Linked DNA regions of Canis lupus familiaris. The protein of the gene in region 1 interacts with the protein of each later gene in a pairwise test. Links are inferred from orthologs where the notes say so. Each region holds a gene or a part of one and is shown on either strand. Other genes may lie near its edges.

Region 1 (3,903 bases):
CTCTTGCCCCAACACCAATATTGGCTAACCCCTACATCCTTTTGCATGAGATTCTACCTTAAAAATAGCCATCAGAACTACTCTAGTGACTTCTACGTGCCAATACAGAAGGTGTCCAGAAGAACATAGAGAAAAATACAAATTTGTGCAGAGAGTAGAGGGGAACATCTAGATAATCTCTAGATGTCCAGGTAGGGCTTCATGGTACCAAAATGATAGCTATTTCGTTTTCCCCCTCGATAGGCTGTGAGCTTCTTGGGACAGGGAAAAGGATTACTCATTTATCTGTCACCCTGGTGCCTGAAGTATAGTTAGTACTCAGAGAAATGTCTGATGAATGAAAGATTCCTGGCTTTGCCACTGACTTTCTCCTCCTCCTCCTCCTCCTCCTCCTCCTCCTCCTCCTCCTCCTCCTCCTTCTTCTTCTTCTTCTTCTTCTTCTTCTTAAGATTTTATTTATTTATCCATGACAGACAGGGTGGCGGGGGGAGAGGCAGAGGGAGAAGCAGGCTCCATGCAGGGAGCCCGACGTGGGACTCCATCCCAGGTCTCCAGGATCACACTCTGGGCTGAAGGCAGCGCTAAACCACTGGGCCATCAGGGCTGCCCTCTTCTTTTTTTAAAAGTATGGTCCTGCTTTTTTTTTTTTTTTTTTTTTTTTTTAAGATCTTATTTATTTATTAGAGAGAGAGATAGCATGAATGGGGTGAGGGCAGAGGGAGAAGCAGACTCCCTGCCAAGCAGGGAGCCTGACACAGGGCTCAATTCCAGGACCCAGAGATCACGACTCAAGCCCAAGGCAGACACCCAACCGACTGAGCCACCTAGGAGTCCCTGCCACTGACTTTCTAAGTGACTTTGACTAAGATCCTTTCCTTCTCTGGACCTCAGTGTCAAAATCTATAAAACTGTGGAGGGACAGGCTAGCTGGGGTAGGGTTTCAAAGTTTCCAGCAATATGCTATGCTCAGAGATGGGCTCAGAGAGAGGGGCTGCCCTGACCCCTTTTCTTGGGAGCCACTCAGTACTCTAGAGGAAGGGATTTAGGACAGTGAGGGATCACTGGCTATGAACTCTGCAAATCCCAGTGGCCCACTCCTTGGGTCCACTTCCTGGCTTACCAGCCTGGTATAGGAGACTAGGTTCTGGAGGAAACTCTGGTACCCTCTCCTCCCCCCACGCTGCCCACGAACAGGCTGTTCTTGTTTACGACCCTCCTCCCAGGAGAACAGCGATTGCTCATCCCTACATGTGATTTGAGAGGGCCGGTCTTTCAGGCCTGGAGGAAACTCAAACCCAGCCAGCCACTTGGCATCGGAATGTTCAGCTGGTCCCCTTCTGGGGCTCATGTGACCGAGACCCAGCTATAAATATCAGAGGGGCCTCAGACCAAGACAGAATTCGGGCACCAGGAGAACAAGGCAAGGAGGCTCTGTGTGGGTATTTTGTGACGAAGGCAAGACCCCAGGTCTACGTAAAGTGAGGCAGGTAAAGGAGGCAGCCAGGTGAACCTCCACACGTCCTGACAATATGGATTATAAATCAAGCCTAATCCAGGATGGGAACCCCATGGAGAACCTGGAGAAGCAGCTCATCTGTCCTATCTGCCTGGAGATGTTTACCAAGCCGGTGGTCATCTTGCCTTGTCAGCACAACCTCTGCCGGAAGTGTGCCAATGACATTTTCCAGGTCAGTGCTGGGCATGGCCTTGTCCTGGGCTCCAGGCGGCTGCTCAGTATTCCTGTGGTGAAAGCCATTGTCTCTTAGTCTAGGACTTCTAAACTGCTGGCTTTCTCCCGAGCAGAGCAAAGCCCCTGCAGAGGCCTCTGGGCTGAAGGGGGCTCGGAGGTGACCCTGGCCACCCCATTCCTTCTCCATGACGTGTGCTTCCCGTCTCCACCCTGCCCGCAGCTCCCCCACTGCTGCCCGGAGCCCACAGTTGACTCTCCAAACAGGAGTCAAATGCCTCAAGCGATAAGTGGGAGAGGCGGGTGGAGAGGAGAGAGAAACCAGACCCCTGGGGCTGGAGCCAGCTCCCTGGTGGCAGCGGGCCCAGAGCTTTGGGAGGAGGAGGGTGGCCAGGAGGCACTGGGCAGTAGAGGCATCTTCCCCTTCGAGGCCGAGACTGGTTCCCTATAATGTGGGGCTGGAGGGGATCCATCTCAACAAAGGAATAGGAGAAGTGCCCTGGCTGGGAGGCAGGACTCAAGGTTCCAGAAGCACTTTGTACTAATGTTCTCTCCAAATTTTATCTTTGAATTAGCAGCCCTACGAGCAGGCTCTAACGATAATGTCCATTGCGTGAATGAGTAAACAGAGGCTTGGAGGGAGAAAGTGGCTTGCCCAAGGTCATTCAGAGGATAACTGTGACTTGAACCTAGGTCTGCTGCCTCCCAAACTTGCTGACCGCTTAGTTGCTTTCTCAGGTGCTCCCCGTGTACGTGGGCTGGCTCTCATCTCAGGATGGGGAGTTCCATGTCAAATGGCTTGACGAGAATGGTTGGGGTGAGCAAGAAAGACAGAGACTGTCCCAGGCCTCATCTCTGCCCTTCCATCCGCAGGCCGCGAACCCCTTCTGGACCAACCGGGTTGGCTCCGTGTCCATGTCTGGAGGCCGTTTCCGCTGCCCTTCCTGCCGCCACGAGGTGATCATGGATCGTCACGGAGTGTACGGCCTGCAACGGAATCTGCTGGTGGAGAACATCATTGATATCTACAAGCAGGAGTGCTCCAGGTCAGTCCTCCCGGCTCCTGGGAGCCATCCTTCCTCCCCACCTGGTCTGTGCCCAGCTCTCCCAGGCTCCTCCCCATGTGCCCAGGATCAGTGCCCTGGCTGGAGAGCTACACTAGCCAGTCCAGAGAGCCATCTCCCTCTTCTTCAGGCACAACAGAGGCTTATCTCTATCCCCCGACACTGGCTCTTGGGGTCGGTCCCTCAGTGAATGAGAAGAGCCCAGACATTAGGCTGCTCTCCTAGGACAGGCTGAGACAGGAACCAGGGGAGGGACAAACTGTGACATGGAGAGGGAGACACTGGGGCCAGCAAAGTGGCCGGGCAAGCAGAGAAAAGTGCCCAGAGAGAACACAGCCGGTCTCTCTATAGTGGAGGCAATGGCTGTCATCGTGGGTACCGGGGACGCTTCCTCCCGCTGCCCCACAACAATCCTGGGAATTGGGCATGACTTTCATCCTCCCCATTTCATGGATGAGGAAGCTGAGGCTCGAAGAGGTGAAGTCAGTTGCCCAAGTGTTCCCAGCTGAGAAGAGAAATAGCCGAGGACAGCCCTGCCGATCTGGCCCCAAGTCTCCCTGTTTGTAAAACAGCAGCTCTGTCTTGGGCAGAATTTGTGAGAGTGGAGTTTGTGCAGTGTGTGTGTCCAGCTGGAGAGAGATATGGCCACCAGGGAGCTCTTTACAAATTTGACACCTGACAAGACTCCCAGGCCACTGCCCTCAGGCCCTTGGGTCCCAAACCATCATCCAGTGTTGCCCGCCTGGCAGTGTCCTGCCCCAGGATAAGTGACAGACCAATCTTAGTGTGAAAAAGCCCTGACCAGGGGAACCGTCGGCTAGTCTGACTCTGTTACTAATGTATTGTGGGAACTTGGTTGAATCTTTGGGCCTTCATTTTATCCATCAGCAGAGGAGGATGGTAAGGTTTGTTAGTGTGACTATCAAATAGGGTTTTGATGGGAAATGTTAAAAGTATCAGATATGTATGGACACCTCCTGTGTCTAGGCACCTCGTCTTAAGCATTTTCCATGCGTGACCTTTATTTAATTCTCACAGTAATCCATACTACTTTCTTACCCTCATTTTCCAATGAGGAAATGGAGGCTCCTAGAAGGTCAGAGGTGTGCCCGAGGCTGCTCAGCAAGCCGTGATGCTGAGAGGGAGCCTAAC
Region 2 (3,903 bases), on another chromosome or scaffold:
GTCACGCAGGTCCCGCTCCTGGGGACAGGTGCAATGGGGCTTAGGAAGGCACTGCAGGCCGCCCTTGGCCTCAGTTTCCCCCTCCCGGGGCCCAGAGCCCAGCCGTGGTGGGGGTCTGCTCAGTGGGCTGGGGAGGTGCCGCGTACCTTCTCGGTGTCCTCCTTCTTGACCTGCTTCAGGTTGGCCCTCAGGTCCATGCACACCTTGTGCTTGGAGCCCAGCAGCGCCTTGAGCATCGCGTCGGCAGACATGCGCACCCTCCTCAACGGGGGCCTCTTGAACTTGCCTCTCAGGTCGAACAGCTTCTGGTTCATGTCCTCCAGCTGCGGGGCAGAGGTTAGGGCTGGGTGGGTGGCAGTGGCTGCAGGGCCCCCTGCTGGTCCGGGGAGCCCCTCACCCGTCCACGCCCACCCCATGCCTGCTTACCTCCTTGGTGCTCTTCTGAACCCTCACTTCCATGTCATACTTCTCCTCCTCGGCTGCGTCGATCTTGGCGTGCAGCTGTTTGCAGAGCTCCTGGGGTGGGGGCAGCAGGTGGGGTGGGGCAGCTGTCCACCTGACCTCCACCTACCCTACCGGCCCTCTTGACCAAAGGGGAAACTGAGGCAACAGGCCAGAGCACCGCTCGGGGAGGGTACCTGCACTTCGGACATGGAGCCGGGCAGGTGCAGAGGCGGGCAGTGCTCAGACAGGTAGTTCTGCTTCTCAGACTCACGGCGACTCTCTTCTTTCTCCAGCTCCTGGGCGGCAATCTGGAGCATGACACTCTAGAGGGGCAGGGAGCGGGGGGCAGGCGGTGAGGGACTGTGGTGGCCCAGTCCCACTGGCACCCTGGGATGGCCCTCTCCAGGGAGCACCTACCTTCAGGTGCTGTCTCCGGGCCGTGATGGCCCTGTTGCGTTTCTGCAGGGGAGGGGGCAGGAAGCAGAGTCAGGGCTAGTTGGGGTCCCTGGCACCCCCACATCCCTCCACGCTTGCTCCACCAGGCCTGTGGACCCTGCCTGGATGCAACTGAACCGGGGTGGGGGGGTCCCAAGGCCCTGCTGGGGGACCGGGCCCAGGACACCTGTGACCAGGTGGCGGGTGAGGCTTAAAGGCTCAGGGAGGTAAAAGGAAAAGGGGCGGTACCTCAGGGGCAGGGGGAGGGGCAGGGGATCCCTGCAGGGCCCAGGAGGTGGGGGGCAGCCTCAGAAAGAAGAAGCGATTCTGGTGACCAGGCCCCAGCCCCACATCCCCTGCCCTGTGAGACGTGGGTAGCCACTTCCTGTTTCATTGAGTCTGGGTGGCTGGGTGGGGCACTCTCACGGGGGAGGGCTGGGCAGCTGCCCCTGTGCTCTAACCTATGACCTATCCCAAGTCAGGCAGGTCCCATCCCCTCTGTGTTTCATGCCTCCCCCCCCCCCAGCAGGTACTCACCTCCTCACTGTCCCGGGGAGGCAGGGGGGTTAAGGGGAGAAAAGAGACAGGTTAGGGACATAGATGGGACAGTATGATGGGGGAGTGGAGGGTGGTCAGAGCCAGCCGGGGAACTGTAGAGACCCCCGCCTGGTGGGGAGGGTGGGGACAGCAGGGGGCCCCCAGCTTTGGGCTGCACTTACTCCCCCATCCTGAAGTCCTGGGCTTAGAGCCTGTGGGAGAGAAAAGGCATGGGTGTGAGGGCCATGGCCCATCCTGCCCTGGACGCTGGTTATCCAGGTGGGGGCCACCCTGACCCCAGCCCTCTGCCTGTTGCCCTGCCCCCAGCTCTGACCTCCTTGGAGGCACCATCTTGGGATTCCCAGGGTAAGAAGAGGAGAAAGTGTTCCTAAAATGTCCCAGGCGGGGCCCGGGTTGTTGCAGCTGTCCCGGGGGGGCGGGACGGGCCAGCACAGGTGGCCACGAGAGCCTTCCCACTATTTTTAGCTCTGCTCCTTCGGCTTTGGGCCCAAGTGCATGCAAGAAAGTGCTCCCCGCTTTGGCCTGGGGTCCCTCGACCCATCAGATCTCCTCCCTGTGTCCCACCCAGAAGGGAGGGCTGGTGATCTGGAGGCTGTCCACGACCCCTGGCCACCCCCCACCCCAGCCACCTCCCAATGCATCGCCATCTGGCTCCAGGCTCCATGGAAGCCACCCCCCCTGAGAGGGCTGCTAGAGGCGGCCCCCAACCCCCAGGACCCCACCCTGGGTCGTCCTGGGAGCTAGCTCAAGGAGTGCCTGTCCTCGGCCTGGGCTGGCCGGGCTGGCCTCACCTAGTGTCTGGGCAGCAGGGCCGGGAGCGAGGTCAGGCCGGCAGCGGCAAGTTGGGCTGGTGGGCCCAGGGGGAGGGGTATAAATGGCCTCCCCAGGCTGGGCCCCTGCTCAGAAAGGGCATGGAGCCCTCCTCAGACCAATGGGGGCACAGGGGCCTCCCCACCTGCCCAGGCCGCCCGGCCCGGCCCAGCCGCGTGCTGTCGTCCCGTCCAAGAAGTCTTGGTGGGGGGGGGTGCTGAGGCTGGGCTGCTCTATTTAGAGCTCAGTGACATGTTCGAGAAGCCTCCCTTGTTCTTGCAAGGAGCCCAGGGTCAGCTGTACATGGCCTTGCTGGGCCACTGCAGGGCAAAAGCTCGAGGTCGACTGAGAGGTCACTCAGGTCCTGAGCCCGGGGCCACTCCTCAGTTTTCCCTCTGCTTCCCCGGGGGGGGGGGGGGGGGGGGGGGGGGGGGGGGGGCGGGGTGTGTGTGTGTGTGTGTGTGTGTGTGTGTGTGTGTGTGCGCGCGCGCGCGCGCTGGGAGCAGCCCCCGCAGCTCACTGCTGCCTCTTAGCCAGGCCAGGTGCCCCAGGCATGAGCCTGCCACGTCCTGTCCTTTCTCCAAGCCGGCCCCAGCTCCGGGGCAAGGCCTGAACCCCCCAAACATGGCCCGTGGCGGTGGCCAGGGCCTCCGAGTGGGGGCTGCCCTCCCCCGGCTGAGATCCGGTCCTCCTGGGAGCGGGAGGGAGGGTGCCTGGACGTGCAACCGGCCGGAACACCCTGCCCTGGGGTGGTTCCTGGCTCACTCGGAACCCGTCCTTCAACCCGGGGATGGTGGCACCACCCGCCTGGGAACCTCTCCCTGACCCGAGGGGCCTGGGGCCTGCCTGGCTGCCCGGGCAGGCCCGGCGCTGCTGCCCTTCTCACCCTGGCCCGGGCCTGCGCCCCCCGCCCGGGGCCCCCACCCAGCAGAGACATCCGGACAACCATGACTTGGCATCCTCTGAGCTGGGGGTGCGTGGCCCCAGCCCTGCCGGCCTCACGGGCCGTGGGGAGGGTCAGGGGGAGCTAAAGCCGTCCAGATGTGTGGGGATTAGAGCTGCATTCCTGGCCAGGGCTGAGCCCCCAAGGCCCGAGGTGACTTCTGAAGACATCTACTGCCCCCTGCCGTCCGCAAGAGGAGGCCTCACAGCAGCCGGCAGCCGCTGGAAGGTTTGGGGCCCTGTGGGGGCTGCAGCGGCCCCTTGGGTTGGGGTCCTTTCCCTGTACTGTCACCACCCCCAGGATACCTCCTGATTTCCCCCTGGGTCCCCGCGGGGCCGGCTGCAGCCTGCCACCCAGCACGCCGTCCCTGACCCTGCAGCCCCACTGACAAAGAGGGCTCACCACCTCTTCACACCCTCCGGTTGGTGGGGCTTGAGGGGACTCCTTCACTCCACCAAGGGGTCAGAGGATCTGTGGCTGAGGCTGGAGAGAGTCCTCCCCCCCGCAGCAATGATGACCCTCCTGCGTGTCCCTAAGGGCTCCGGAAACACAGGCAGCCACAGCAAGAGCAGGCATTTATTACAGCGGAGTGGTCCCCCGGGGCAGCCTGGACAGTACCCACACTTCAGCCCAGGGGTGCGTTCAGGAGCCGGGCAGGGGCAGGCGTAGGCGGGGTTTCAGGGCCAGGGCTCGGTCCACCTCCCCAGGGAGCT

Evidence for each region.
Region 2: the proteins of TRIM63 (region 1) and TNNI2 interact in a two-hybrid assay, tested with the Homo sapiens proteins (2 studies listed by BioGRID and IntAct). The link is inferred for Canis lupus familiaris from reciprocal best matches to the Homo sapiens genes TRIM63 and TNNI2.

What each region holds. Positions count from the first base shown.
Region 1 is NC_049223.1:73,293,103-73,297,005, forward strand, and holds the start of TRIM63 (E3 ubiquitin-protein ligase TRIM63), read left to right. Parts: upstream 1-1,272; 5' UTR 1,273-1,529; coding exon 1,530-1,688; intron 1,689-2,560; coding exon 2,561-2,733; intron 2,734-3,903. UniProt on the Homo sapiens protein: E3 ubiquitin ligase. Mediates the ubiquitination and subsequent proteasomal degradation of CKM, GMEB1 and HIBADH.
Region 2 is NC_049239.1:46,530,474-46,534,376, reverse strand, and holds the start of TNNI2 (troponin I, fast skeletal muscle), read right to left. Parts: upstream 2,341-3,903; 5' UTR 2,229-2,340; intron 1,785-2,228; exon of another isoform or gene 1,751-1,784; intron 1,629-1,750; 5' UTR 1,607-1,628; coding exon 1,599-1,606; intron 1,424-1,598; coding exon 1,417-1,423; intron 904-1,416; coding exon 862-903; intron 768-861; coding exon 639-767; intron 517-638; coding exon 427-516; intron 324-426; coding exon 147-323; intron 19-146; coding exon 1-18. Other genes in the region: SYT8 (synaptotagmin-8), read right to left, coding at 3,833-3,903. UniProt on the Homo sapiens protein: Troponin I is the inhibitory subunit of troponin, the thin filament regulatory complex which confers calcium-sensitivity to striated muscle actomyosin ATPase activity.